Arabidopsis thaliana: one gene and its partners. The protein of the gene in region 1 interacts with the protein of each later gene in a pairwise test. Each region holds a gene or a part of one and is shown in the gene's direction. Other genes may lie near its edges. The genes, in order: AT5G10570, SMZ and NAC088.

Evidence for each region.
Region 2: the proteins of AT5G10570 (region 1) and SMZ interact in a two-hybrid assay, tested with the Arabidopsis thaliana proteins (one large-scale study listed by BioGRID).
Region 3: the proteins of AT5G10570 (region 1) and NAC088 interact in a two-hybrid assay, tested with the Arabidopsis thaliana proteins (one large-scale study listed by BioGRID).

The regions. Positions count from the first base shown.
Region 1 is NC_003076.8:3,337,062-3,347,687, forward strand, and holds AT5G10570 (basic helix-loop-helix (bHLH) DNA-binding superfamily protein), read left to right. Parts: upstream 1-4,138; 5' UTR 4,139-4,295; coding exon 4,296-4,832; intron 4,833-5,074; coding exon 5,075-5,230; intron 5,231-5,452; coding exon 5,453-5,620; intron 5,621-5,729; coding exon 5,730-5,816; 3' UTR 5,817-6,018; downstream 6,019-10,626. Other genes in the region: AT5G10560 (Glycosyl hydrolase family protein), read right to left, coding at 1-404, 492-842, 922-1,019, 1,130-1,296, 1,547-2,290; AT5G10580 (plant/protein (Protein of unknown function, DUF599)), read left to right, coding at 10,450-10,617.
Region 2 is NC_003074.8:20,370,655-20,382,321, reverse strand, and holds SMZ (Integrase-type DNA-binding superfamily protein), read left to right. Parts: upstream 1-5,799; coding exon 5,800-6,218; intron 6,219-6,332; coding exon 6,333-6,358; intron 6,359-6,709; coding exon 6,710-6,740; intron 6,741-6,885; coding exon 6,886-6,973; intron 6,974-7,106; coding exon 7,107-7,255; coding exon of another isoform or gene 7,256-7,286; intron 7,287-8,060; exon of another isoform or gene 8,061-8,062; coding exon 8,063-8,142; exon of another isoform or gene 8,143-8,356; coding exon 8,357-8,604; downstream 8,605-11,667. Other genes in the region: TON1A (tonneau family protein), read right to left, coding at 1-1, 104-192, 298-430, 624-710; AT3G54980 (Pentatricopeptide repeat (PPR) superfamily protein), read right to left, coding at 9,474-11,667.
Region 3 is NC_003076.8:6,053,471-6,062,740, forward strand, and holds NAC088 (NAC domain containing protein 88), read left to right. Parts: upstream 1-4,302; coding exon 4,303-4,746; downstream 4,747-9,270. Other genes in the region: APY2 (apyrase 2), read right to left, coding at 233-553; SIP1;2 (Aquaporin-like superfamily protein), read right to left, coding at 1,728-1,886, 1,987-2,262, 2,641-2,937; AT5G18310 (ubiquitin hydrolase), read left to right, coding at 8,289-8,297, 8,680-8,934, 9,054-9,248.

The DNA.
Region 1 (10,626 bases):
TCCAAATATGATTTCAGCGAGTGCTTGTCCACCAGTTTCACCTGGATAACCAATCCAGATAATGCTTCCGATTCTCGGGTCATTTTTAGCAAACGTTACATCCACTGGTCCTCCACCGGTTAGAACAAGAATCACCGGTTTTTTGCTCACAGCAGCAACATGAGACACAAGATCTTTCTGTTTACCAGGCAAAGAAAGACTAACTCGATCCTTATCCTCGGTTTCTTGAGAGAGATCTAATCCTGCAACTACTATGACAAAATCCGCTCCCTTGGCGATGGCCACAGCTTCTCCAAATCCGGTATCAGAATCACAAGACACGTCTGAGCAACCAGACGCATAAGATGTCTTCTTCACATACTCCAGAAGTTCCGTGAACAAAGTCTTTCGTTGACACGGCTTTCCTTTACAAATATGACATTTATAAACTGTTTCAGCGAGGAGAAAAATTTAGCCTGCTTGAAAATAACAAGAAGATAGATAGTCCGAACCTGTATAAGTACCGCCCATATTGCTTATATTATTCGCCATTGGACCAACGATTGCTAATGAAGAAACATGGTTTTTGTTCAAAGGCAACAACTTGTGATCATTTTTCAGGAGCACGATACCCTGTCTTGTTGCTTCCAGTGCCAATTTTCTGTGGTCTGAGCTACAAATGTCATTTGATCCTAACTTTCCGTACTGTCCTCTTCTTGGATCACCATCAAAAAGTCCAAGACGAAGTTGAACAGCAAAGAGATTTAGCAGAGCTCGGTCTACTAGTTCTTCGCTCACCTTCCCCTGCTCAATCGCAGATTGTGTGTGCCGAAGCATGTATGTTCCACAATTTATATCCACCCCTATGAATTCACAATCTCAGATTTCATTTTAAGACAACCTATTTACAAGTTAACAAGTGTTAAAAGAACTCAAAAGGACCTGCTTTTATGGCATCAGCAACAGCTTCCTCAGGTGACTTGGTATATCCTTGGTACGCAAAAATAGTTGCCACAGCATCACAGTCTGATGTAATGTACCTGCACAGATACAAGAAAAAGACTCCCCGGTAAATCTTTCATTGGCCGAACCAAAGCATCACAAACAAAAATCAGGTTTTTCTCTCCTTCCCTGTTGAAGATTCACTTACCCTTCAAATCCCCACTCAACTCGAGCTTTTTGTAATAAGTCTCCTTGCGCACAAGCAGGGACCCCATTAACTGCATTATATGAACACATCAAGCAGCTAGCTTTACCATCTCTTATACAAGTCTCAAATGGGGGCTGATATGTGTCTTCCATGTCCTGTTCTGTGACCTACTAATACAGAGTAAGCTAGACTCAGTGTTCGACACAGAACCATGGAGATAATGCAAAAGCCAGAAGCAATATAACTAGTTAAATTCTGTTTCATGAACACCAAAGAAAGGTGCATTCAATAAAGTCTATAGATTTAATTCTATTTTAGGTCAAACCTGATCCACTAAACCTGAGAGTTCTCAATTAAAATCCAATTGAAGTTGATACACAAGCTACACATAGTGAAGAAAAGAGTTCTTAGTCTTACCACAGCATTGAAGTCGTATCTAGTGAAATTCCCCCATTTTTCCAAATCATAGGCAGTGAAATGCTTACAACAAGCAGATAACATGAGCTTCCCATCAGCATCATCATCATGACGATCATCATCAACATCATCACTAAATCTTCTTTTCAAAACCTTCCTTTTCTTCTTCTCTTGAAACCCTCTAACGAACTCAACTCCATACTCGGAAACTACCTTCGGATCCTCACCAGGAGTCTCCTGTCCTCTTCCCCATCTCGGATCCCTAAACACATTTATATTCGGAGCCCAAAACGTCAACCCAGCTTGACCACCGTTGTACATAGCCCGACCTTCCACCGCAACAGCAGATCCAATCTCGTACCATAGCGTTCTATTGAAAGATGCAGCAGATACGATTACCTGAGGAAAACTAGTAGCGGCGGAGATCGAACCGTTGAAGGAAACTCCGGGACCGTTATCGGCGAGTCCGTGTAAAGACTCCGACCACCACTCGTACGGAGGAATACCGAGACGGGGTACTGAAGCAGCTGTGTTTGAGAGCTGACCTATCTTCTCTGGGAGCATGAGGAGGGAGACGAGAGAAATTGCTCGTTGTTTTATGGATAAAGAGACATTGCAGAAGGGATAAGAGCTAAAATGAGGAGGTTTACAAGGGAACTGTGGATGAGAATCGAGGTTTTTGAAGGTTTCAGCTATGGCGGAAGTGAAGAAGAGTAAGGAGATTAGAGTCAACTGAAGATTCATATTTTGGAGGAAAATAAATCTGTAGAGAAGAGTGAAAAAGGAAACTAAAAGGTATAGTTTTAAACCGAACTAAATAGACCGGTAAAATCTAAATTAACAGTTGGACCGGTTGGTTCACTGCTGTTTCTTGTTACTTGTCATTTGACGGACGGTAGAGGGGCCAAATCATTATGGGCCTTTATCTAATCGATTTATAGTAATTAATTAAGATCAGTGAACATTTATGAATTGGGGCTTTATCTAATCAAGGTCTACAATTTTTGTAGACTAATGCTTGAATAATTTTACTTTTACAAATGGGTGGGTTTCAAGTGTCTCTAGCTAGTTGACAAAAGAAAACATTAAATTTTATTTTAAAAAAATTAAAAATGATAGTATTTTAAAATTGTATATAAATTTTTTATTCACAAGGATTTAAAAATATTAATTGTAAATAACAAAAATTTTAAAACCACCAAATTTTATGTATTGTAGTTATATTAAAAGTCAGAATTATTTACTTTGGTGTAAAACTCTCTAAAATAAATGAACCGAAAACTCAAAACCCAATATTGAAACTTAACTAACAACCCCAAAATTTTCAAATATGCATCCATAGTGGCTTAGTCATGGTCACATAGCACATAATGGCTGAAGCTTATTCACGTGTTTCATCTTTTCTTATCCCTGCTTCTGCTTGCATGCATTCACCTTGAAAATTGTGTCATTTTTTTCTTATGGTTGTTACTTTATTTTATTTACTAAACCTTTGTCAACCCAACTGTTGATCCCTGGTTTTAGTTAAACCAACAATTATTAGGATAAACACATACTTTTTAAAAAAAGTCAATGGGTATCCAAGAATGATTAGTTTAGAAATTTAAATATATGAAATTTTGTTAATTTTCAATTTAAATGTTGAGAAATGAAAACAATGAATTGTCAAAGAAAAGCAACTTATATAATGCAGACAATAATGATATCCGATTGAGTAGTAAATAATGGAGTGAAGATAGAGTAGGAGACAGTGTGTGTCCACAAACTCTCACGCAACTCGCTTCTGATATAAGAAACAAATTTCTTTGACTTAAGCCTTCTTCGATCTCTTTGACCTGTCAGTCTTTTCTTTTTCCATATTAATACAATCATACACTGATACACCACAATGTAATAATTTGCGGAATTATGTCTATTAGAAGAGACACGGGTGTTTATTTTTTCCCGTAATTGATCGATATCGTCGGATACGAGTACTTTTGAAATGGCAAAAACTCACAATAATATATATCTATTCAAGATTTTTCCATGTTATTAACGTTCAGTGCCAAAAGCCTATCCAATAATAATAATAAAAAAGCAAATATGATGGCAGCTTCTCAATCTCGAAATCTAGACCATTATCTCTTACTTTTGTAAGCATCTGATTATTCATATTTGATATTTCTAATATTAAATACCATTCGTATCATATACATAAGTTGACTAAGGAAGAGAGCTAGATGATGATGTTCATTCATTTTGGCCGGGACATACTTTGTGGGTCAGATCATTTTTCCGATCAAAGAGAACGTATAAATTACTTAATATCGTCACTGAAAACGAACCATCAATAATAATACGATTCAGACAACAACACAAAAGAAAACGATATTAAGTAAAAAAAAAATTTCATCAATCTCAGCTTATGCCTCATAGGTTGGTGCTGGACCATGGATCAAAAACAAACACACTAAATTGTAATGTTTTCTAGTGGATCTCTCCTTAAACAACTAGACAAAACTACTTATTTGTATATATATTTTTAACTATTAAAATCCACTTTTTATGTAACAAACAAGTCATAAATATACATATGTCAAATGGAATAAAGTAATTCTAATCAGTTAAAAAGTGAATTCTTCATTACAATTCACACTTATGTAATGCATTTACATGCATTTGTATCTTCTTTGACCCCAAGCTCACAAACTCTGTTCACTTCCACTTTCACAAATAACAGAGTTTCAGAAAATAGAGAGAAAGAGAGATGGAAACGGAATTGACGCAATTGAGAAAACAAGAAAGCAACAATCTCAACGGCGTTAATGGAGGATTCATGGCGATTGACCAATTCGTCCCAAATGATTGGAACTTCGATTACCTCTGTTTCAACAATCTTCTCCAAGAAGACGACAACATTGATCATCCTTCTTCTTCTTCTTTGATGAATCTAATTTCTCAGCCACCTCCATTGCTTCATCAACCACCACAACCGTCGTCACCTCTTTATGATTCTCCGCCGCTCTCCTCCGCTTTCGACTATCCTTTTCTCGAGGATATCATACACTCCTCTTATTCTCCTCCTCCATTGATCCTTCCGGCTTCGCAAGAGAACACCAACAATTACTCACCATTGATGGAGGAAAGCAAGAGCTTCATAAGCATCGGAGAGACTAACAAGAAAAGGAGTAACAAGAAGCTTGAAGGTCAGCCTTCGAAGAATCTTATGGCGGAGAGACGGCGGAGGAAACGGTTAAATGACCGACTCTCCCTGCTCCGATCCATTGTCCCTAAAATCACCAAGGTCAAATTCCATAAACCTCATCCTTGTCACATGTTATATGGTTTTTATTTTTAAGTCAAGAAGAAATATTCTTCCTTTTTTGTTAAGTTCTTAACGTTACATGTATGTTTTCTTCTTGTTGAAATCTTTTTTTTGGTACACTGTTCACTGATAAAAGGTTATTGCTTTTTGTGAATCTGCATAGAGTTTGTTGTATGAGAAAATGTATATAATTTTTGATGATTATTATATAATAAAATCAGATGGATAGGACATCGATACTAGGAGATGCAATAGATTACATGAAGGAGCTTTTGGACAAGATTAACAAGTTGCAAGAAGACGAACAAGAACTTGGAAGCAACTCTCATCTAAGCACCCTCATTACAAACGAATCTATGGTCAGAAACTCCCTAAAGGTAAAAGCTAAAAACAAAACATAATGTTATTATGGTATTTGTGCTTCAGTACTCATAAGTCTTGTGTTTTTACAAATTCATCCCATTACAAATCATTTGTTACAAACACCCTCATCATATACTTGAATCAATTTGATTCCCATTAGATATCACTCAAAAAATTATAATCACTTGAAGGTGCAGACAATTTTTCTGGCTATAACGAAAACGAATCTTTTGCAGTTTGAAGTAGATCAAAGGGAAGTTAATACGCATATTGATATATGTTGTCCTACGAAACCGGGTTTGGTTGTATCAACGGTTAGTACATTGGAGACTCTAGGATTAGAGATTGAACAATGTGTCATTAGCTGCTTCAGTGACTTCTCATTGCAGGCTTCTTGTTTTGAGGTACAAATATTATTACACTTTGATTTAGCCTTACTTGGTGCATCGACAAATTAAATGTATATTCTATAATTATTTTCTGTTATATTCTGTTTTTTTCGTATATATGTAGGTTGGTGAGCAGAGATACATGGTTACTTCGGAAGCTACTAAACAAGCACTAATCAGAAACGCAGGTTATGGAGGAAGATGTCTGTAGGGGAGCTTCAAAATTGCAATGTTTTTTAATGATGATAATATTTTCCGGTTCTTCTTATTCTCTTGTGATGAGTATGATATTTCATAAGGAGATAGATAAATGGGAAAATCAAAGGTGTAAAAAGAACTCATTGATGTTTACCAATTAGTCTCCTCGACTGACCCCTCGGTTTCTAATCCGACTCATTAATAAAACATGCAAAATAGAGAGAGCAGAAATGTTAAAAAGAGTTTTCATTTGGGCCCAATAAGCCCTGTTATACTAAAGCCCAAATAAAGTCCACTAAAATTCTGCCAGCTTTTTGACCTAACGAGCTCCATCCGTTTCCTCTTTAAATAGCTGCGTCTAACTTTGAACCCTAATCAAGTTATCCGAGAATCGGCCACTCAAAGCTTATTATCAATCTATATAGTTCGATAGATCTCTGTGCTAATTTTTTTTCTTGCGATTTGTTTTTATGGTTTATGTGTTTTGGTGGTTTTTTTAATGTCAATCGGGACTGGAGTTTGACTCTTTAGCAAAATAACGATGCCATAGAGATGAATGCAGCGCCCTAAATAAAAAAGACCACAATCGGAGATCTATCTCAGTTCTGTCCGAAATCGATTCCCTCGATATTGGACGCTGAGATAGTTCTCACATGTTTTAATCTCTGCTTGTTTTTATTTGATTTTATGAATGATTATGATATGATTCGTAATGGGAGCGGTGATTCAGGCAACCTACTTGTTAATAAAACAATGACATGAGAGGTGTTTAACTGCTCCTAGATCAAATTATGCTTCTGCTCTTCAGACTTGCTGAGATTTTATCGTCTTTGAAGCTGGTCTAGTAGTCTTAAGCACATTCTTTCAATCTATATGGCTATTCCACTTTATCCGTCCCAATTCTGATGTGTTTACAGAAACCAGATCTTGTCTGATTGTGTTTCGTCCGGTTTATTTCGGATTCCTAAAGAAGAAGGGTTTCGATTGCACCTAGGCCCATTTCTACCGTCTATAGTTATTGTCATTGGTCTACTGGACATGAAAAATTATATTAATGGATATGACATGTCTATTTTACTAATTAGAGGAAAATATCTAATGTATCTGCACAATCCTACATAACATACCAGGCGATTGTGTTATGAAAATAAGATCTTTCAAAAGGGACAAATTTCTGTAAGAACGTCGTGTTATGTTATAAAAAAAGAAATTTTATTTTCCCTTGATTCCTATAAAAAAAAGAAATTACATAAGGGTTGATTACACATAGGCCCATTTCAAGCCTTTCTAGTGATGGGTCACTCGACATGAAAAAAGATTAATGGACTTTATAGGTCTAACCGCAGTCGTTGTAATTCTTGAACATAATAAGATTATCAGAGGATTTATTTTGATCCAAAATTTGTTTTTATACCTAACTTATCCTATATTCTATATGTTTAATGGTTTATAAAACATAGTTTGATAGTTTGATATGGTTATGCGTAAATTTTGAATAAAGTTTTATTGTCACCATTCAAACTTAAAATAATACAAAACTCATATAATAAAAAAAGGTAAAGACTGTAGACTAAAAAGAAAATAAGATAAAGTTTTTTTTTATAAAGACACCGCCACTGAAAACCTTAATTCATTTGGTAGAAAAAAAACAAGTTTTAAAATTTTGTCCACTTATCAAAAGAAATTTTTATTTTAAGTTTAAAACATAACTTTATAATAAAGACACAATTTGTTTTTGTTTTTGTAACTATTTATTCTGATTTAAAAATATTATAAACGAGAAACCAGATCAAAATAGCAGATAAAACAGGACTCTTTCATTCGTCTTCATTTTTAACACACAAATCTTAAATCACTTCTTTACGCCGACAAAATAAAAATAATCACATCTTACATATACAAATGTAAAATAGAATTTTTAATAGTAATCTGTAAGCAAGCAGGTGAATAATCATATAGAAACAAATCAATCTTAAGACAAAAATGTAATTATTTTTCTATTAAAATGAACGGTGAACCCAAAAAGTATGCACAATTAACTAAAAAGGAAAAATATGGGTAGGTTAGAGCACTAGAGGTTTGTGCGAGTAGGTTAGGTTTCGAAGTTTATACACTAAAATATATGGTCGAATGTGGACCTCACAATTTCTATTTGCTGACGAGAGCTTCCTTATTTGTTATTATACTCATATAAGATGAGCTGTTTAATAAGTTAATAAATCATAATTAAAGCAATCGTGTAAAAGATTAAGACATGTGAGTGCTTCATTTCTTTGCCGTAGTGTTGTTGTTAGTTAGTTATTGGGTCGCACGAAGCCACCACCCTCTCTCTCTCTTTTTCTTTGTCCCCAAAGAAGACAAATCTTTAAACGATTGGTTTAGGCCGTGAATACTGTTTTTAATTGTTGTTTTTTCTTATAGTGCAGATACTGTATTTAATTACGTATGTGTTAAATTTAAGTATTGGCACGATAAGAAACTTATTCAATTTCATTATTAATTAGACTATAAACTTGACTGGGGTCTAATTTTGTTTGTTAGTATCGTCAACAAAAATATTGTATATTAATTTCTTTTACCAAAATTATATATAAAAGAAAATTTCAACAACAAGCATGACCGTGTTGTAATACTCAAGAGTTAAATTCTGAGAGTCTTAATTAAAAACAAAACAAATGAAATGATGAATTGTATGTACATATATATATTCTGGTTTAAGGAATGTATGTACTTGGTGGATTATTAAATAGAGTTGTATAACTTTAAAAGTAAAACGTCAGATATAGCGTGCGGAATATATATACTATAAGCATCCGATAGATAAGTCGATTCATGCATGAATCACAAAAACTACACCCATTTAGAAATACAGTTAGGTATTTTATCACATGGAAAATTACAAGATAGTTCAATACTACTATTCCACAATCTTATAATTTGTTTCTCCATGAGTAGGCCTAGCTATCCATGAGCATCTATTCTGGCCAGGTTTTAAAAATGGGTGCCTAGTTTTCTAGTACTAAAATATACTACAATTTTATCAAGAAGAATCATCAAGATTTATTGGAACATTCCCTGAATTTTTGGGGGTCATGTAGGTTACTTTCTTTATTCGAATAAGCATGCACATGTTTTATAAATTGTGATGCGTATTTTGGCAAAAGTTTTCCGCAGCCCAAATAAAATCACTAGACCAAACTCGAATAAACTGCATGTATACATAGATGTTGAATTGAACTCTTAGAGATTCAAATTTACAATCGGTTTCTAATTAATTACGCTTCCAACTACGTTTTTGATCTGTCTTATTCAAAAATCAGATAGGGTTTTTAGACACTTCGTTACGGCTCCTTGGTTTTTAAAACCTTTTAAGGCTAAACCTGAAACTCAAGTGGTTTTGTCCATATCTCTCAGCTCAACATATTTATAACTATTATGTGTTTGGTATAAAGCATGCACATATTTTATAGAGAATTTGCATGTTAACGCATCTCTATTTGTAGAGTCCGTAGATATTTAATGTATATTATGTTATCTTCATAAAAATAGTGTGAGCAAAAGGTATAAAAGTAGTCGTATATGTAGAAAGGACAAAGGGTGTTTAATCTCAACAAGCACGATTTTTCTTTAACTACAAGAAATGAACCAACCTTTAGCCAATTGGGTCTGACTCATGTTCAAGAAACTTTAAAAGTTACTTTAATTTCTTTCATTTAATCATTTTTGTCATTAGTTTTATTAAAAAAATATTAGTGCACCTATTCCACGATCGATCGAGATCTAGGATCCTAAGGAGAAATGACCAAATTTTATGCTCGAGTAAACCCGTTTCCTTTAGATGATCATGATTAAAACCATAGTCGATGTAAAATCATCAGTGAGCAATAAATACGAAAATTGATGTTTGATATTCAGCGATGAACATTTTCGACTTGGGATGTCTTTTTGTATGCCAAAAAATAAAAGAAAATAAGAAATGCACTAGACTGAAGAAGACTAGTAACGTAATGACGTGGAGATAAGTTAGGTCATAGTGTAACATGTGTACATAGCATCATCGTCTACAACAAACGTTATATTTCTTAATTTCACCTTTTACCAAAAAACAAACGTTATATTCTGTTATCATCTCTGTGACATGTTCCAAAACCATCTAATCTAAGTCTTGTCTCCTTTATCTACATATACGGACAATTAGATATCACATGTACGAATATACAGGCAATGTGGGACAAAATTCAAAAAAATGTGTCTAAAAGGGGACAAGTGGTCATTAACCTTAATTTAAATTACGGCCAAATGTTTAGTAACTAAATAAATATGGGGTCGAAATGTAAATTCTAAATTATCTCACAAAGTGGGGTACAGAAGTGAACACTAATAAGTCATAAAGAGAGATTTAAAGGAGAAACGAAAAGCATTAAGATTTAATTTATATGAAATTAGTGAAAACCAACCAAAAAGAATTTATATGAAATTCTAAGGGGCAAATTGCGGAACAAAGATTGTAAATAGCAAAAGGAGTTTCAGTATAAATATATGGGGACAAGGGCCATAAAAATAACAAAAACATTCTTAGAGAGCTTTGGAGATAACGAGAACAAGAAAGAAAGAGAAGATTATATACATAGAAAAGGAGAGATCAAATGGAGTGGGAGAAATGGTACTTAGATGCGGTTCTTGTGCCAAGTGCTTTACTTATGATGTTTGGTTACCACATCTATTTGTGGTATAAGGTTCGAACCGATCCTTTCTGCACCATTGTTGGTACAAATTCCCGCGCCCGTCGATCTTGGGTAGCAGCCATCATGAAGGTAGTTATA
Region 2 (11,667 bases), on another chromosome or scaffold:
GCTTTGAATAGGTTTTGCAGGAGTTCACCAGATTAGTGAGAAAAATTCATCAACAATCTTCTTAATGAAACATAGCAAAAGAAAACGGGATTATATTGATTACCAAATTGCTTTCAGGTTGATAAACTATGAGCGTGTGATTAAGTTGTGCCCAGTCCAAGTATTCACAAATCAACGCAGATAGTAACCTTCCTGCATTTCAACAAAAATTTCAAACCAAGAGATGCCATTTAGAACCAAACCATTCATAGAGGAAAGATTTAAAAGGATAAAAGCAAAAACTTGTGAAGAAAAAACCTGAAGGAGAAGCATGAAGCTTCCTTGCACGATCATTACAGCTTCCCAACAGAGCTGGAGGCGGTCCTTCATTGTTCTCTATCACTCTATCCTCTTCTTCAATTGCTTCAAACACACTTGCACGGAGCTCAGCCTACAAACACAAATAAACTATCAGCAAGATTCCAGATGCATAGGCAATTAACAATATCGAGCATTTCGATCTGAATAGCAGGAACCCTAGAAAAAGAGTAATGTATGTATTTCAAACGAATCACTTCTCTGTTCTCATTTCCACTCAAAAATTTCTGCGAATAATGTATGGTAGAGAAGTAGAGGGAATTTACCCGGATCTTAGCGAGGACACCTTTCTTCTCTAGGGTTCGAGTGACCAAAGTCTTGAGATCCATCATCTCTCTTGTATAATCGTCCATCACAAAATCAAATCAAAGTAAGGAAAATTAGGGTTTCTGGGTGTAAAATTGGATTTGGCAAAATTGGGGTTTTTGGCCGTCGGGAGAGAAAGACGTTGAAAGATGATAAAACGAAAACAGTAAAAGAAAAATAAAAACAACACTTTTGCCAAATCATCCCCTTAAAGATTGATAGTTTCCACTCTCGTCCGAAATTTTAAATTTTGATCTTTTGCCCCCTATGATTGTGAAATGTTTCTTAAATGTTTTGTCTTATCTTCCTTTTTTGAACGAGAATATGATGTCAAGTTCACATTTTGAGATGTAACTCAGAGATCACAACACATTTGCATTCATGGACAGAAAAATCATGAAGTTCGGTCCAATATTGCCAAGCATATGATATGAAATGTGTATGAATCATATTAGTTGTTTGAGCATTTTCTAGTGATGACTGACTATTATTTGATATAGAATCTCAGAAAACGAATGAACAAATAAGCATTAGATTTTCCACTCGCAAGTTGGGTCAGATCAAGGGCAATCGCTCCTTCTTAGATTATAATATTGGATGGAAAGGCCTAACCTTGCTTGTCGTTGGAGTTGTATGAAACTTTGGTAACTTTAGTGTTACTCTAATGGATCAGTATCATCTAGTTGTACAATATTGACATACTACACTTACTAATTAAAAAAAAAACCAAATTAATTAGTTACATTCAAGCAAAATGGGAAAGAAAAAGCTAATGAGGATACGTGTTTACGAATGAGCATTTGAGTATCCAACGCTTTGGGTTTGTCAATGGGATGAATCGGAATAGAAGAAGGCCCAAGAAAGAAGAAAGTCCAAGCTCGACTCTTGTGTTAATTATTAAATACTATGTATTGCTTGTGATCTTATAACTTAAAGTAGAGAGAGTACTTGGAACTACTTTTCTTTCTTCTTGTAACTGTGTATTGCTTGTGGTCTTTTAACTTAAAGTGTAGTCGATTCTTCTTATAAGAAAGAAGCCAAGAAACTTATTTATAGAGTTTGAACCAAAGAATATGATCAAAAACGTATATAAATCCGATTTCTTCAGTTGTTTCTTGTTTCCATTCTCAGTTTTATTCACCTACTTCTGTTCTGCTTCTTTTTATTACCATTTTAGTCCAACGGTTATGTAGCTTAGTGTTTTCCATTTTGATGTCACATACTCACCCTCGCAAGTCTCACTTCCCTATATAGCTAAAAGAAAAGAATCAGAACTAGTTCAGGACTTAGGAGCACATGGTTTTTTGGAGAGGGTATTCTCGTCATTTTAAGCATTGGCTTTTGGGGGAAACGAGGAGGGGAAGCTACCACGTCGCCCAAAACTGTTCCCACATATATGCGTCAAACATTAAACCGAAAACGTTAAAACAATTTTTTTTCTTTATATAGAGATTTGACAACAAATAATAAAATAAAAATGCCCACCAATTATCAAAGAATATGGTTGAATCTTCAATTATTCAATTTTATAACGTGCTTCATGCGTTTCCACTCGTTTCTCTATCACCCCTTTTATAGATCTACTCTACCAACAAGCCCCATATTTATTAATCTTAGCAATCGCTTCTCAATCTCCCTCACATACAAAGTCCATAATTTTCTGGCCGGAGGCTAATCTTAGATAATATTTGTGTTTGACCTACTAACGTATATCATATTTTCCCCAAATGTATCATGGTGTAGTTCCTAGGTCTCGAATTCGGATCCAACAGAACCCTTCTAATCGATTGAACATAACCAACTATGAACTATATATATTTAGGTTAAATTAAAATTCTATCATGAATTTACTATATATGTGATGGAAAAAAAGATTCGGGATGAATGAGAAACTGGTTTTGAAGCTAGAATAGTTTTTAAAACACTTTAAAATCATGTGTTTATCAGATGTGGTTTCATAACACTATGTTCCTACTAAATACAAACATCCTAATTCGTTTTTTAAGCCAACAATATGAGTTTTATTCATATTTTAAGTCACAATCCTAGCTTAATATAAGACTTCAACAAAAAATTTAGCAAAAAATTTGGGTCCGAGTTGCAACCTACAAATAGATTGTGTTGTTTAGGTGTAGAAAATAGAGACTATAAACATAAGTGCATAAAGCACAAGGTTAACAAAGAAATTGACCCATCACTAGTAATATTCTGATAAAAATTTCAAAGCAGTTAAATATCAGAGATTTTTGCATATAGTACACGTTCAAGTATTTTAACCATTTCAAGAAATTTGAGTGGTAGACAATATTTCAATTTTCGATTGAGTAATAAACTTTGAAGTGTGTAGATGACTTCAAAACACATTATCATTGTGAATTATAGGGTAATACGTTATTGTGCAATGCAAGTTATTAATAATGTAAGAAAAAAGGTTACTCTTTTACCTATTGGAACTAGAATGAACAGAGATATTTAGTCTTACCAAATAAGGAAAGGCCGATTCCTTAAAATCTAATATTTTCTTGCATATCTGGATAAATTGAACGGCTGGGATTTGAGAACCAACTTATCATCAAATCTATCATAATTATTTGTAAAAAGAGAGATATAGATTTGGAGTGAGTGATTGGTGAGTGGTTGAATAATATGACAATTGACATAACCCCACTGTCCCTCTGTCTCCATTAAGGTTTCTCTCTCTTCCTACTCTCAATACAATAGTAGTAGTTGGCATATTGGACCCATCCTTTTTTTTTGGTTTAGGCCCCAAACGTGTAAACATCACACCATCTCTCTTATTCTTTATTCATTGACTATAACACATTTATCATTTTATTGTATAGTTTATGTTGTGGTCTAGATTATCATCTTTCTTGTTCCTCCAATAATTTGGAATTGAAGATCCATCCCACTAGTGATAAAGAAGAAGAAAAAAAAGGCTTGAGGATGAATGTGTTAAAGAAGGATAGTTAAAATATTTTAAATGGTTTATTTAAATTTATGACAGTCCATTTGAAACTCCTTTTCTTCACCAATATTTCAGTATAAAGATGAAATGCAAATGGTATCTCCTTCTTATAGATTAAACCATAACCTAAATCAACTCTTACGAAATCTCAGTTGATTGTGATTTATGTATATTGGGATGCGAAAGCACAACAACTAGGTTTAATTTCTTCTAAAATGTGTGATAAATAAAATATAATATAAAACTAACAAAAAAAATCTGTCGGTCTCTCTAATTTTTCGTTGCTATGTTTTATCCATATATCGTAATCTTTAATTTAAATGGAAAAGGGTTGTCCTTTGGCAAAATAAAGAAAAGAAAAAGAAAAAAAGATAGAGAAAGGATTGTCCTGATTCGTTAAATGACGCATAGAGAAACAAAATCACATGTGGGTTTATTTAACACGTTGAGAAGATACCATTGCGACGCGAAGTACCAAAAAATCCCTGACCGTTAGATTTTTTTTCATATCTTGACACGTTGGAATCACACGAGGGACCTATCAATAATTGTTGTCGCTAAATGCCAAATTTAATGAATTTTATCGAAAAATAATGACCTAATTTTATTACTAAAATGCAGAGAGTAGACGATGTTAACCGGTTAATTTTGTTGTTGAATGCTTTAAAATGTGAAATAACTATGTTGAATTGTGTTTCATATTTTCTTTTTTAATCGTATAATTTACTAACATGTTAGAAGAAATTACAAATTCAGATATAATATAAAAATTTATTTATCCTTACCAAAAAAAATAAAAAAATTATTTATTGGATTTTACCCATCTACTATTCATTCTCATCATTAACTTACGTTTTCCGAAAATCAAAGATATTTAGGTCATTTTATGTAAGGAAGGATAAAAATAAGTAATGATTAAGAAATAACATTTAAAATAAAAAAAAATTGACAACAACGGCTCATTATTCCTCAAAATTCTAAATTTTGCTGAGAAATTGTGTTACCAATAACAAACATAATCGCATCGATAATCGCTATATAATCTGTTGCTAATTAAGGATAAATTGAAAATTTGTAAAAGTCGGCAAATTCCTAATATTGCTAGATTTAGGTTGTTGAAAATTTCAGATATTGACTTTTTAGTACTTTTATAATTGATGGGGCTATCTTATTTTCAATTATATTTTGTTTGTGGTCACACTAGGCCTAATAACGTACACTTGTCAATTAAGAACAAATTTATAATCTTACAGACAATTCCACATTCGAGCATGCATTAACAAATTTCTTCGGCATTAAACTATATCAAATTAGAATGCTTTGGTTTGAAAAATAAAAGTAATAACGCTTGTTTTTTGATATAATGCATAGAAATTAAAAACTACTTACTCTTCAACCAATCACAATATAATACGTCCTTTAAGGTTTGACTTTTGGTTTTGATCTTAATACTAAAACAACATTAAAAAAAAATTCTTAAACTCTTTATGATGTTATCTATTTTGTTAAACTTGTCGATGACTTGATCAAAAGATGTATCATTAGATAAATCAAGTAGCTGTATTTTACGAGGGAAAAATAATCTATCATATTATATTCACGAGGTCTCTTTACCAAGTAGAAGGCTAAAGAACATAAGTAATAGTATAAGCTAGTATCTTTATACTTTACTCTCCTCACCTATTTGATGGCATTAGTTTTGTTTACTATTTTAAAATTACAGGTCGACTTCACTTAAAAGGAAGAGAAAACTTTTGTTTTTGTTATTACATCGTATTAACGCGGTTGAGTTTACAACATCAAAAGTGTTAATATATAAAAACTCATCGTACAACCCTATCTACGGCTCTCCCATATTTAATTAACAAAAATGAAAACTAATATATAGTACAAAATATGTTTATTCGATACATCGGCAAGGCAAGTACAATCATATAATTATAGAAATCAATTTTATATATAAAAAAAAAGAGTTGAAAAGGCAAATAAAGGGCAAGTGTATCCAATGCAACCTTCACAGTGAACACGTCCCACGTTCTTTTTTTTCTTCCCTCTTTTAGAACTCTCTCTCTCTCTCGTTTTTGACACTTATCCTCTCTCTTTTTTCTCTCTCCCTCTCTCTCTCGCCGGAAAAAAGAACAACGTCGTTTATAGCTAAAGATTCGATCATGTTGGATCTTAACCTAAAGATCTTTTCTTCTTATAACGAAGATCAAGATCGGAAAGTACCATTAATGATCTCAACCACCGGTGAAGAAGAATCTAACTCATCTTCCTCCTCCACAACAGACTCTGCAGCGAGAGATGCTTTCATCGCTTTTGGAATTCTCAAACGCGACGATGACCTTGTTCCTCCTCCTCCTCCTCCTCCTCATAAAGAAACAGGAGATCTCTTTCCGGTGGTGGCTGATGCTCGTCGGAATATAGAATTCTCCGTGGAAGACAGTCACTGGTTGAATCTTTCTTCTTTACAAAGAAATACACAGAAAATGGTGAAGAAGAGCAGAAGAGGACCAAGGTCTCGTAGCTCCCAATATCGTGGCGTCACTTTTTACCGTCGCACCGGTCGTTGGGAATCTCATATTTGGTAAATCAAATTATATTTCATTTTTAATATTATCATTGCATTTTTATATTGTTATTTGTTGAATTATTGCTATATTTATCTCTAATTTTGGGTTTGGAATTGATTAATTTGTAGGGATTGTGGAAAGCAAGTTTATTTGGGTAAGTAGATCAGATTTTTATTTAATTATTGGGTCATCTTTAATTACGTGTGTGTCTATTTTTAGGCATAAACGATGAATTTTAAAACAATCGTATTTTTGTGATAATTTTGATTTGTAGATCTTCTCTGACAACGTCTGTTAAAAAAGTTTATTTTTTGTCAACTACCTCTATTCTTTTTTTTTTAAAGGATGTATGTTTTTTTTTTGTAAAAAGACAAAAAAACATAATAGACTATTACAGCTCATTTACCTATGTTTGTTACTTCTGTCTTTCACGTTTAAGTGAACACAAGTTGATTATTTGTATTAATCTAACTTTTTTTCCTTGACTTAATTTTCGTTTTAACAGGCGGGTTTGATACTGCTTACGCAGCAGCAAGGTAAAATATATATATATATACACATTATTTGTTACAACATTCGTCATTTGAATATGTTTTAATTTTGTCAACATATACACATTAGAGTTTGTTGAAGACAATAAATAATTAATATCAATTTGACTTATTCATAAATGAATACCAGGGCTTACGACCGAGCTGCTATCAAATTCCGTGGTCTCGATGCAGACATCAATTTCGTCGTGGATGATTATAGGCATGACATCGATAAGGTTAAACATATATATATATATATATATATATATATATATATATATATATATATTACGTTATGAAGATGATTCATTTCCCTGTATAGTTCGAAATAATACATGTGGATCTTTAAAATTATCAATTTATGTATAGATGAAGAATTTAAATAAGGTGGAGTTCGTGCAAACACTTAGGCGAGAGAGTGCGAGTTTCGGAAGAGGAAGTTCCAAATACAAAGGCTTGGCTCTTCAAAAATGCACCCAATTCAAAACTCATGATCAGATTCATCTCTTCCAAAACAGGTACCATTTTGTTAGACACGTAATCTTTTGACAAGTTTAAAGTGCAAATAGTTAGTCTTATTAGTATGAATAAAATATGGTTGAAATATTCCCTACTTTTTGATGAAATGGCCTAATTTTACTATTTACACAATCTACATCATGGAAAATACATTTCACTTGGCGGATCATGGATGACAATATTATAAATCCGTCACTTATCTTAACTATATTTCACCTATATTCAATTTATTTTTATTCTATCTATTCATCTAGCTAGTGCTTTACCATTCAAAGCCTAACCTTCACTTTTTGGAAAAGTTATTGTCGTCTTACACAATTTTAAAGTTTGCTGAAAAAAAGTTATAAACTAGCTAGCTAATTAATAATATTTATTTTTATATACTACTAAAAGAAAGAATAACTTTTATCCAGTTCAATCATATATACATCAATTAGTCCATATATATACAATTAATCAAAACTAAGTAGTAAAAAAAAAAAAAAAACTTCGTGAAGGTACAAAATTTTCTACTCAAATTTAATTTTCTAAGTGAATGGCAATTTTCAAATACTTTTACTTATATATCCCCCTCAAACTATACCAAGCCAACGTTACGTTTGTTTCCATTTAGGTGCAAGCTTGAAACCATCGTCCGTTTCAAGAGTTTGATACTGTCGGGGATGATGGTTTCTTAAGTTTACCTTTTATGTTTCGTTGTAAATGCTTCACAGAATACCATTGTTAAAAAAAAAAAATGAAACAAGAGTTAGTGTTATGCTGTGAATAAACTTAGAAATGTTTATACGTATGTGCAAAATTCGTAGGGGATGGGATGCAGCAGCAATAAAATACAATGAGTTGGGAAAGGGAGAAGGAGCCATGAAGTTTGGTGCCCATATCAAAGGTAATTGATTAATATGGTGTGACTCAGAATGTAACTAAGTTTATTATAAGGCATGGTTGATAAATTTAAGTGAACATTGCCAATCTATATATAACACTAACCACAAATTTTACATATACTTTAAATCTGATCAAGGAAGCTAGCTAACCTTTTCATAAAATTTTTAGCACTCTCCATTTGAGCAACTTATCCATTAACATTGTCATTTTTATAGGAAATGGTCACAATGATCTTGAACTAAGTCTCGGAATTTCATCATCATCGGAAAGTATAAAGTTGACAACAGGCGATTACTATAAGGGTATCAATCGGTCCACGATGGGTTTATACGGTAAGCAATCATCGATATTTTTACCCATGGCAACCATGAAACCTCTGAAGACAGTTGCAGCATCATCAGGATTCCCTTTTATCAGCATGACAAGTTCCTCTTCCTCCATGTCCAATTGTTTTGATCCATAGGATCGTTCTACACTCTCTTAACTAATATATATTTTTACTCTATCTGATTATTGTATACAAGGATAAAATTTGATTCTTTCCTTAATGAGTGAGAAATATTGGAAGTGTTTGTTCTAACTTCAACTCGAATTATATACCAAACGTGGTTATCATCACGAAGAATTTGCACATAAAAAAGCTAAAAGCACATCACCACCAGTGGGCAGTAGCAACTAAGAGTCTTAGACCAAGCTATAAACTGATTAACCCAAAACCATCATTTATGAGCAAAGTTGATCTCAGAAGCAGGCAAAAGACAGACAAATAAAAAGATAATCCGAATCTTGTAACTTAACGGTTCCGATAACTATAACCTCGCAGGCTAACCGGTGGATATTATTCTCTGTGTCAGTTGCAGGTTCCTTTCTGGGTTTTGAATCTGGCAGATTTCAAAAGGGCTTTGTGTTTTCCTGTTCCAGTTCACATGGAGTAGCCTTACTCGAGCAGACGATATGCTAGAAGAATCATATGAAGAGTTTAATAAGGACTCAGTGCACTGGTTTCATCACCCACCAACATAGATGCCTCAGAAGACCTTGAAAAACTGGAACCTGGTTTCAGTTGGGAAATAAAGAAGCTCAGTATAAGAATACAGAGTCAAATTATTCTGGTTTGAATTCGTTCTATGTTTTATAAAATTGACAAAAACAGAAGGCCCTTCTTAGTTTCTTTACAGAAAGTCTATAGAGTCTCCCTCTTTCATGAATAACAACATTTATACTACAACCGTGCAAAATGAAAAGTGCACACCTTAAGCAGTCATATTATCGGGGTCTCACGAAAAGCCAAAGCTAAGTCATCAGTCAATAATGTGGTCTGGTTTTGGCAGACTACAAACTTGCTGCACGTACAGGTTGGAGGTTTCCGACTTGCCCACTAACTAGAATATCAAATGTAGCACCATCGGGTAAAATACCCTTGTCAAGCATCTCATCGTGAAGTCTAAAAGCCTCATCGAGATTTCCTTCTCTATAATGTCCGGCAATCACCGCGTTGTAGATAAGGACATTCGGAGTGACATTATTCTTCTTCATCTCCTCAAACATCTTAACCACTTTTACAAACTGCCCCTTCTTGCTAAGACCGTTTACAATTACTGTGTAAATGATTTCATCAGGGACAAGACCCACCGCCTGCATTTCTGTGTACAACTCAGAGGCCAGGATCAAATTTCCATCTTTCAACAATCCATCAATCAGTGTTGTATATGTACCCAGATCACATCGTAGACCGTCTTTCAACATTTTCTTGTACAAATCAAGGGCTGCTACCATGTTTCCCAGATTACGAAATCCAGAAATCAAGCTGTTGTATATAGGTTGGCTTGGATTCAATCCTTCTTCAAGGAGTTCAGAGAACAGAGCAGATGCGCTTTCCATGTTACTCCTTTTGCAGAACCCATCGATAAGAGCACCATAGGCTGGAATATCGAGTTTGACACCTTTGTTCTTCATTTCGTCTCTCATTTCCAATGCTTGATCCATTCTGTTATTTTTGCATAACCCATTCATCAAGCTGGTATAAGTTATGACGTTTGGAGAAATACCATTGCCACACATCTCTTCGTATGCTGCAACCGCAGAATCCATTTCACCCTCTTTGAAAAATCCATCTATAATGCTATTGTAACTCATGCAACTAACACATAACCGTTTTTCTTCGATCATATTTGCCAACAATTCTCTTGCTTTGGATGTCTGACCAACTTTGCATAAACCATTGATAATTGTTTGGTATACAACCCCGTTGACTTCAATATTGGAAGAAGTCATATGATTGACGACTTCCAAAGCGTTTTGTTCATCATGATTCCTGAAACATCCATCAATCAGAATGGAATACGTGTAGTTATTCGGCTTTAGACCCTTTTCCAGTATATTTGAAAAAACAATACGAGCCAAGTCCATGTTTTTCTGTCTGCAGTGGCCAAGCATCACGTTATTGTAAGAAACTACATTCGGTCCAATACCTCTACTTTCCATCTTGCTTAATAACTCTGTAGCTTCGTCTGTCTTACCTTGCTTGCATAACCAGGATAATATAGTGTTACATACAAACACGTTTGCAAGACCGGTTTCAAAAGACTCGTCAAAGAGTTTCAGTGCCTCTTCATGTTTCTGACCTTTCAACCACCCTTGAATTATCGTGTGGACATGAAAGACAGAAGGAGTAAGACCTAAGACTTCCATTTTCTTGTAAAATTCAAGCGCCTTTTCCATTTCCCCGTTCTTACGAAACCATTCTATCAGAACCGAAAAAGTAACGCTGTTCGGAGAGGGGCCTTCCTTTTCCATCTTATCAAACAAAACCAAAGCACTAACCAAGTCATTGTTCTTGCAGTGTCCCGTGATCAGACTCGTCGCAGCAACTACATTCATCGATATCCCATCACTCAACATCTCATCCTTCAATCTAATTGCATCATCCATATTACCTTGCTTCACAGAAGCCAAAATCACAGAAGTATAAGTTTCCTGCGACGGGACACACAACTTCTTCTCCTTCATCTCTCTCAATAAACTATTAGCCATAGCCAAATCAAGCGTCTTGCAACAAGCCTGAACAGCAAGACTATACAGTAAACTATCCGGTTCTGCTCCTCTCTCAATAGCTCTACTTAAAACCTCCAAAGCCTCCGCAGGCTTTTCTTCTCTCAAACTAGCTCTCATTAACAATTGCGTTGTTACATTATCACCATCAACACCAATGGCAACCATCCTACTGTAGAGTTCCTTAGCTTCAGTTAACGAATTCCTTTGAACTAAAGCACTCAAGGTCCTATTCACATATGGAAAAAATGGAATCACATCTAGTTCCAACATCTGGTTGACGATATCCACCGCATGATCCGTTTGCCTATCTTTAGAATAAGCATTCAATAAGTAATTAAAAGCTCGTGAATTGACTTCAAACCCAAATGATTTCGCCGAATCCACCAATTTACTGACCAAAACACTTGCCATTGGAGTTGGATTGCTCGTAGAAACGTACCGTATGAGCAAATCACTTGCACGTCCATAGGTC
Region 3 (9,270 bases), 2.7 Mb from region 1:
TTCGATCCGTTGGGAGATGCAAGCTTCTTCACCAAGCTCTAGCAAGTAAGCTACACAGTGCAAGCCTTTCCACACACAAACAACCATATTAACATAAAATAACACAAATGTACCACAAATCACCATAAGCAATGAATCAAATCTCGGGAATGACACAAAGATCTATCAAGCACTTATTAAGCCATAGATTATGATCCAGAAAGAGGAGAAAAAAACGAAACCAATGTATCACCTGTAAGAAGAGCTCAAGTTCATTCCCAAGAGGAATAAGATCCAAATTCTGATCAAAACAGTAAACATGTACACGGCTACCAGAACTTCCAGCATCAAAAATCACAGCGTAATTCTTCGGACCTCTCGAATTAGGACCTCCTTTGCGATTATGCACAGAATACTCTTCAACGACGGAATCAGAAATCGATCTCCCAGGCATTAGCAGAAGAACGAGACCGATCAACACAATGGGAACCGAAATCACAAGTATAATCCCACGATGGCGTTGGATCTTGTCAGCAAGAGATTCGTGCCGTCCAATCCCACGCTTCGCCGTCATCTTACCTCCGTCAACAGAGTCGGATGTAGGAGAATGGTTACCAGACTCCAGGAGCTCAGTGGAAGAAGGCGAACGGTAGCGTATCTTACCGTTGCCGTTGCCGGTACCGGAGGACGCCGTGGTCTGCGGCGGATCCTGTAACGGCTCCAGATCGACGGTGAATTTGGGAAAGCGGCTTGAATCGCCGGATTTGATCTGGAATCCGAAGCTTGTGTGTGCTTCAGATCTGAATTTTGTATGAGAGAGCGATGGATGCAAACAAAAGACGTTATGGGTTACGATTGCGGGAGATGGGTAACTCCCAACTATGTTTAACTCTCACAATGAGCTTACGCATAAATTAGTTAAAGTTGATTTTTTTTTATATTGAAATTAAACAGTAGTAATAAATACCAAAATATTTAATTAAGTACTTCCTCTGTTTTAATTTATTTGTATTTTAAAGTTTTTGTTGAAAAATAAATGCTATTCATTAATATTTTTTTGCAAAAATTTATGATTATTTATTTCTTTTGATTATATTGGTATTATGCAGAATATTTTGTTATTGGTTGCATATATTATTTTAAATAAAAAATGACGTTATAGTATAAAAAAGATAAACAATTTACATAATTTATGTAGTGTCTTAACTTTTTATGTGTATGCAAAATTCTTAAATTATAAATAAATTGAAACGAAGGGATTATCACTAATATTTTCACTAACAACTCCTAATTTTTCATGAGATTTTTAATTTGACTGTTTACTTTTTATATTTATTTTTTTTGCAATTTTGTGATAGTGAAACTTGGTTGAATCGAACTTGGTATAATTTGATAAAAATCAAAGCTAAGTGGATATCAAAACCATATAAACCTGAGCTGTATGAAATTCGGTTTGAGTACTCTGGTTAATAGAAGTTGTAAATCGAAAACATGAACCTTAACCGGATTAACCCACCCTGACTCTCCTTCACGTACCGAACTTAACCAATACTACTCAACCGGACGAGAGTGAATTTGTAGATTACGCACTAACCGAGAAAATGTGAATCCATAAATTTTAAAAAGAAACGAATTTTTTTTTTGGGCTATAAACTATAAATTAAGTACAAATACGACAACAGCATAAAACATACAACAAATGGGATTATGATTCATGAAATTTTTACTTAGATTTTTCCATTTTTTTCTCAAGCTTTCTTCTGTTTTTTCTGAACCAGAGGTGGAGCCGGAAATATAATTCTAAAGAGCATCGCAGATAAAATAGCTCCGGTGTAGGAGCTGATCCAATACACATAAAAATGGTCCCATGTGTTGTGAGACTTGTAGATATATGCCCACCCAAACGCCTGCATCACAATATATACCACAAGACTATATATCAAGATTCATTTCAAAATGTAATAAAAATGAATTAACAATTCTTGAGTAGGACGAGTATGAACTTACAATGGCAGGATTCATGAATGGTCTAGTGAATTTAGAACCTACGACAAACACCGATACGGTAGCGAGTGCGAGCAAGAACGTTTTCGCGAGCAGTTTTCGAGGACCTCTTAGGATAATTAGTAAAACCAAAAATGTAACACTAAAACTTAGGACCACTTCAGAAATAGCTCCATTGTGTGCACCAAATTGCAATGAAGGCTTTCCTCCAATCCTAGTCTTATACTTTTCCGGTATCATCTCCATGATCGTTATCGCACCGCCTGCCGCACCAATTGCCTAAGATATATAAAAGGTTACATTACATATGGAAACAAATATGCCAGTGGGTACTTGGGCCAAAATCTCCAATTAAAAAAGTTTGTACGTTATTCAAAAACACACATGGACCACACACAATAAACTTCACATAGATCCAACAAACAAAGAAAATACATTGCTCTAACAACAAAATAAATGTAAAGAAATTCATAAACAATGTGTAAGGATAAAACTTTAATAGATTCTTATTCGAAGAGACAAGACACAAAAGCAAATACTCATATGAAAAGATGTCACAAGTATATGAACAAAAATCTTTCTGTTCAGAACAAAATAAAGAACAAGAAGAAGAAGTTGGTTTGGTTTCAAAAGCTAGCTTAGATCATAAACACACACCTGAGCAGGAGATCTAATGGCCAAGGAGAAGAGAGAATCACTGGAAACACCGGCGGTATAAAACGCTGCGTTTCCACAAGGATTGAAGCTAGCACCACCAAGAACGTTTCCAATAACCGTAAAAATCGAGATGGAGACAAAAACAACCAACGTTGAGATCACAAGAGGAGCCCAAGTGATACCATGAAACCCTACGGCGGAAACAATCGCCGCCGTCTGTATCCCAAACGTCGCCGAGAGAATAACCCACAAAAAGGTTATCACCATATCACCTAACGCCGATTTTACCGCACTCATCGTAAGTATCGTTTTTTTTTCTTTTTCTTGAACGTTTGGGTTTAAGAAGATTGTTTTCTTCTTGTTGAAAAGAATATATTTATCAGTCCACTCAAAACTAATATTCTTTTTTTATATAGAAGGAAGATATGTATGACTATGAGTGACTCACCTAACGGTTAGCTGAATTTTGTAGAAATGTAGATAGACTATCCCAAATTTATATAGAAAACAAATATACTTTTGTAACTCTTAGAAAAAGATAATTGAAAAGTTTGTAGAGAAAAAGATGAAATCCTTATGCTCTGATTAACATAGAGGGCCTGTTTAATTCCAAAATGGGTTTGTTGTACAAAATATGTAATGAGTTCATTTCCATATTCTCTGCCACCTCAAATGACCATGGTTCCTTTTTGGTGAGCTCTGACTATGGAAAGTCTATACTGCTTTTTTTCTTTTTCCTTTTTAGTGTACTAGTGTACAAATTATAATGATCAAATGAATGTAGACACTATTGAGAACAGATACATGTAAAAATTAACTTATAGGAATTGAGCACAAACAAAAACCTTTTTTCTTTCCTTTTTCCAGTATATATTAGAGTAAAAAAAAATGATATACATAGGCTGGTATATAGTCAAGATATTATAAAAAAAGAAAAAAAAAGGACAGAACCTAAACGAGAAACATAATTTATGGTTCTGCAGAAAGTATACCCAAGAGGCCAAGACCCCCTCTTGGGACGAAAAAGAGAGAGTTTGTTGCATTTCTTGATATTCAAGTAATGAGATCGCATGTTATTATTAGCATAAATTCGTTAAACGATATTAGCTAAAAGAATTAGGATATGCTTATGAGCATAAGTATCAGGGGTCGGCCCTGAGATTTTATTGTTATCTAACCTTAGAACCCAAACTTGTGGTCTGTTTAGCCAAGGTTAAGAAAGAAAGGTTAACCAAACCATTGCTGACTATTGGACTCTAGATAGGCCCAGCCCAGTGCGAAACCATACAAATTTTTTTGTTTTCCTTTTGTATCTCCTCTACATAATTTTTTTTTTCAAATTGATGTGTTTGGAATTATTGGGCCACAAAATAAATGTCTTTAGTTTTTTGAAAAATTATTAACTATTATTCGTTTATTTTTTTGACATCATTATTATTCGTTTGGTATAGCCCTGTGCCTATTGGATTTATTTTTATAAAAATAACATGAAAAACTTGTAAACTTTCCTTTTTGTATATTTATATATATCCAAAACTAATCCAAATTAGATAATATTCAATAGTCGGTTCTCAATCATACTCCACTTTATATAAACCTCATTAGAGGAGGTTCATAATTAATTCTCTCTCATTTGACTCGAGGAAATTTCAGAAGAAGAAGATGATGCCGATGACTGAAGAATTTTACGATGAAGAGGAAGAGCTTGGTTGCTTTAGATTTAATCCTTCAGAAGAAGAACTCATACTCGATTATCTTCTACCAAAGCTTGGCTTCCACCAACCAAACACGATATATTTGTTAGAAGACAGGGACAACATCTACGCCAAAGAGCCGTGGCGGCTTAATCACACAGAGAATGATATCTTTGAACCTAACGAGTGGTTTTATTTCGTGAAAAGGACAAATCGCAAAGTTAAAGGTTGGAAAGCCACTGGAGAGTTAAAAGATGTCGTGTCGAAGAAAACCGGTGAAGTGATCGGGAAGAAGAGGAATCTCAGGTTCTACGTTGAAGGTGATGAGAGCAAAACGAGTGGTTGGACCATGAGGGAGTATTCTTCCATTGGCAATCAAAACCAACGTCTCTGCCACCTTAAAGGACCATGATTCTGTTTGGTGAATATCCCTCAAAAATATGATGATTATGGAAAACGATGACTTCTTTTTTTTTTTTTTTTTTCTAAAGGTAGTTACGTTACTCATCATCATTTTATTTCGTTGTGTTTCGTTTGAAGATTCTCCCGTATTCTTATATCTTTATTAGTATACACATTATAAGTCAAGGATCTGAGAGTCTCAATGTTTTCTTGTTTATTTAATTAAAGATTATTCAAGTTTTTTATGAGGAGCTTTGCAGCTCTTCGCATGTTACTTTTTTCATAGATAACAATAATGGTTTCCTTTTTTTTCCGAGGAAGACAGTACGTATTATTCATATAATGTATGAAAATATAATGAGATATTAATATTTTCTTGAGAAATATATGAAATAAAGCTTGTATCTAAACTCTAAATCCAAACCCTAGAGTAGAAGAGGTAAACATGTTTCAACAAACTTTTATGATAAGAACTTATCTTTTGTACGTAGTATATATCAACAAAAAAGGAAGTTTGCTAGTTTTCTTGCTCTATTTAGTCAATCTATAAAAGATGAAAAAAAAAAAACGATATTGCTATTTGATTTCCTATATTTTTGTATGAATTGATTGTAGAGGATTCTTCTTCTTCTGAACATATTGTAGTAATATATATATTTTTAAAGAAATATTAGATCGAATCTCACAAACGGAAGAATCTTTCCACGTTTTGAGGAATACGGTCTGTCACTGTCACCTACACATATGAAATATAAGTCTGTTTAGGGTTTTTAGCGTCGGTCTTCAGATTTTGTTGGAATAGGATGTCCTAAACATCAAAGATCTAAAAATTAAATCAAAATTGAAGAAAAAACCTTAGATACAGATCTATTTTTGGACATTTAGTCACTCTTTTGGACGCTTCTTTGGACACACAAACACACATACCTTAGACACATTTTTCAAACATTTAAAATTTTAGATCCTCTATATTTGGATCCCATCATTGGACAATGTCAAATATAAATCTAGTTCAAATGTCTATTTGTAAATTTTTTATTGTAAAATATGGATCCCATTGTTGTAGATGCTCTAAGGGAAAATACGTATGGTCAATTTTGTCAAGATTGAGAAAGAAAAGTTGAACCATATATAATATAACTTAACATTGATTATGTTTTTCTTGTGGTATGTTTTGTTGTTTTGTTGTTTTTAGTTGTAGTTTTCAGTCTTACTCTCTTCTTTGTTTGATTGTTTCCCTATTAATCGCTGATGCAATTCAAAAATGGTATAAATATTTAACGTTATAAATTAATATAAGGTGAGCAGGAAAGCTTTATATTTCTTTATTACTTGCAAGTTTCATTACTTGTATTTCATTTCAATATTTATAGGATAAAGTTTTATAACATAAAAAATATAGTAGCTTCAACTTTTGTTATTATATAGTCTATGCAAAACCATTTTAAACCGACAGATAAATGCACACAACTGACAAATTTGTTGTTGGTTGAGGTATGGATTGGCAGCAAAAAGGAACTTTTAAAAATGTGAACTTTGACTGTGAATCTCCCAAAAACTCCCAACTTCTTCACCGTCATCGTCAAGCTTACGCCAACCACTTAATTTATTACACATAGACTATCATTTTTCTAGAGACAACCCATAAACAATAAAGCTACTTTTTCAAATGTAACCCCCATATTCTTTTTGTTTTGCTTTGTCAATAAATGTAAAGCCATTTTTTATTTTGTAACTGAAACATTTTCATTACTATTTGGCTAAATTAGCTAAACTTTTCTTCAATCGTTTGGCTCACGCTTCTTTTTTTTTTTTTTTAACGCGTGCGTTTAATTAATCTAAATGCAAACCATAAATCTATAAATACTTTTTACTAAAGAGAGTCAGTTACTCAAATGGTGAATAGCTTTATCATTCAGTAGCTACAATTTACGGGAAAAGAAGTAATGGTATCCAAATATTTAATTTATAGTGCTCTGAAAGATTCACCATATATTGAAAAACTAGAAATAGAATTTTTCTATTACCATTTTAATTATGGTAGACAATGTAAAGCTCATGTTTTTTTTCTTCCCAAATCTTGAAAATGAGTTGTTTAGATTTTTAAACTAATAGATGTAGTATTTTTTCCAAAGTCAATAGCCATGGTTTAGTTACAGAAAATAAAATGGCTACGATTTGGTCAAATGATTTATGGCTTGTAGATTAATATTCGATATTTAAAATTACGAGGATCATAAACAAATGGATTGAATAGGACTATAGGAGTGATTCATTTTCTAATTTTCCCATTGGGAAAATAGCAACTAGGTCAACGACAAAGAAAAGTCAAGACTTGTTTATTTCTGAATTCTGACCGTATATCACTCCACGAGGCCAGGCTCCTGCAACTCAAACGTCTGGTTTCAGTTTGGACCAATAAATAATTTTAGAGTTTATATCTTCTAAAATCAAATGTAGAATTTGCATGGATTATATATGGAGATATTACTAGTTTAAGATATCCTATAATACCAAAGTCATCCTCAAATGTAAACACTGAACTGTTTCCATTTATTAGTATAGACTCATTGATTGAAAATAATGGAAAACTATAGATGATGATAAATAAGGAAACATCAAAGAGCTAAGTATTTATAATAGCTAATAATTAAAAATTATATCCATCATAAACAAAATTCAGGAATTCCCATGTGAAAAGAAAAGTGGACCGACAATATAATAGTCAATCATCACAAATAGTAAGAACGTAACATAGCGTTAGATGCGTATTCATATAACATTATGAAATGCTAACTGATTGATTTTTTCTCTTTTTAATAAAGTGGACATCTTTGTCAACAAAATGGGTAGATTTTTTTTTAATGAACTGTAACGTAAAGTAAATGTGTCACTGACAAAACCTAATTAATAAAAGCCGTGGACTATAGCGCGTTTCTTCTCTCCTTTTTCACACCTTCCCCTGCACTCTTCACTTTTGGTTTTTGTTTTTCTTCTATTATAATGGTTTAATAAAATATATATAGTCTATATAATATAATATAATATGTAACAATGAAGTTTTGTATTCGAGTTTTTATCCAACAAAAATCAGGAAAATAGCTAACTGTTTTTTACTAGTAAATTTCTGATTACAACTTTTAAAAAATATATAACACTTATTGTTTACTTTGAATTTTCATATCAAGGTGACCTAGTAGGGATTGAACTGAAGTAAACTTATAAACACATAATTTTTTGGAAACGTAAGAACTTGAATTTGTGATCTATCCAATTGTTTTTTTTTCAATCAATCCAACTTAGAAGAGACTCTACTCTCCACTAGTTGTAATTAAAAAAACAAAAACAATTAATAAAATGAAGAAATAAAACTTTGTATATCTCTCATAAAGTCGACTATTTAGACTTTTAGAGGTAAGGACAATATCTTCTTTGCTTACATACCCCACTCTTGTTATAAAAGACAGTAACCTTTCTTGAGATCACTCTTTCTTATTTGTGTGTTAGTGCATTGAGAGAGAGAGAGAGAGATAGAAAGAGAAAGAAATCGTCATGGCTCATGTAAGTGAAACTTCTCTAATCCTCTATCCTTGTTTCTTCCTGTCGTCTTTAACATATAGATCGTCAAAACCTGCCTAATAATGTCTTATCCTCACATAACACCTTTTTTTTTATCTCCATCTCTCTGTTACTTAGAACCCTCCATTCATATATACACTAGGTGCCAAATTTGGTCACGTGTTTGGCCCTTCACGTTCTTGACTCTTAGCTAGATCCTTGTTTCTTGTGGATTCTTGAATCTTAAATCTTGAATCCCTGAGTTTTGTTGGTTCTTGATTTTGATTCTCGATTCTTTAGTCATTGATTATTCGATCTTTGTTGGTTTTTGATTAGAGATTTAATTAGCATATTTATGTACTAATAATTGAATAAATGGGAACAGGGGAGATATGATACTTACAAGAAGAAAAGTGGACAGATTCCTCGGTTTGGAGAATGGGAAGAAGCAAATGAGATGCCAATAACACAATACTTTGAGAATCCAAGACAAGCTGGTCTGATTCGTCACCAATACACAACAACTTCTTCTGCTTCTTCCACTACCACTTCATCTTCATCTTCTTCTTCTTCTTCTGCAGAAGCCTTAAAGCTTGCTTCTCACCATCCCCGTCCACGTCACCTCCACGCTCAAAGACAGGTTCATTCATCTAATCACTACTTATTTTTCTTAATTATATAACATTTATTTAACTCGATAAACGTAATTAAGTATCTAAAGAAGAACGCGTTGTTTGTTTGATTAATGACTTGGCGTAGACGGCGGGGACGAAGGAGAAAAGAGGACCACAAAGGCGTGTGCGTGACGTCAGTGCACAGTCGGACAAGTATTACATTGACGTCAACGGTGTTAAGCAGTTCAAAAACGACGTTGCTCTGACTTGTAAGCCACCTAAGCCCGTTGATGAAGATCTCTACAAGATTCCTCCTGAGTTTATCCATTCTTCAACAAGGGTAAGAGCTCCTTCTCACACAC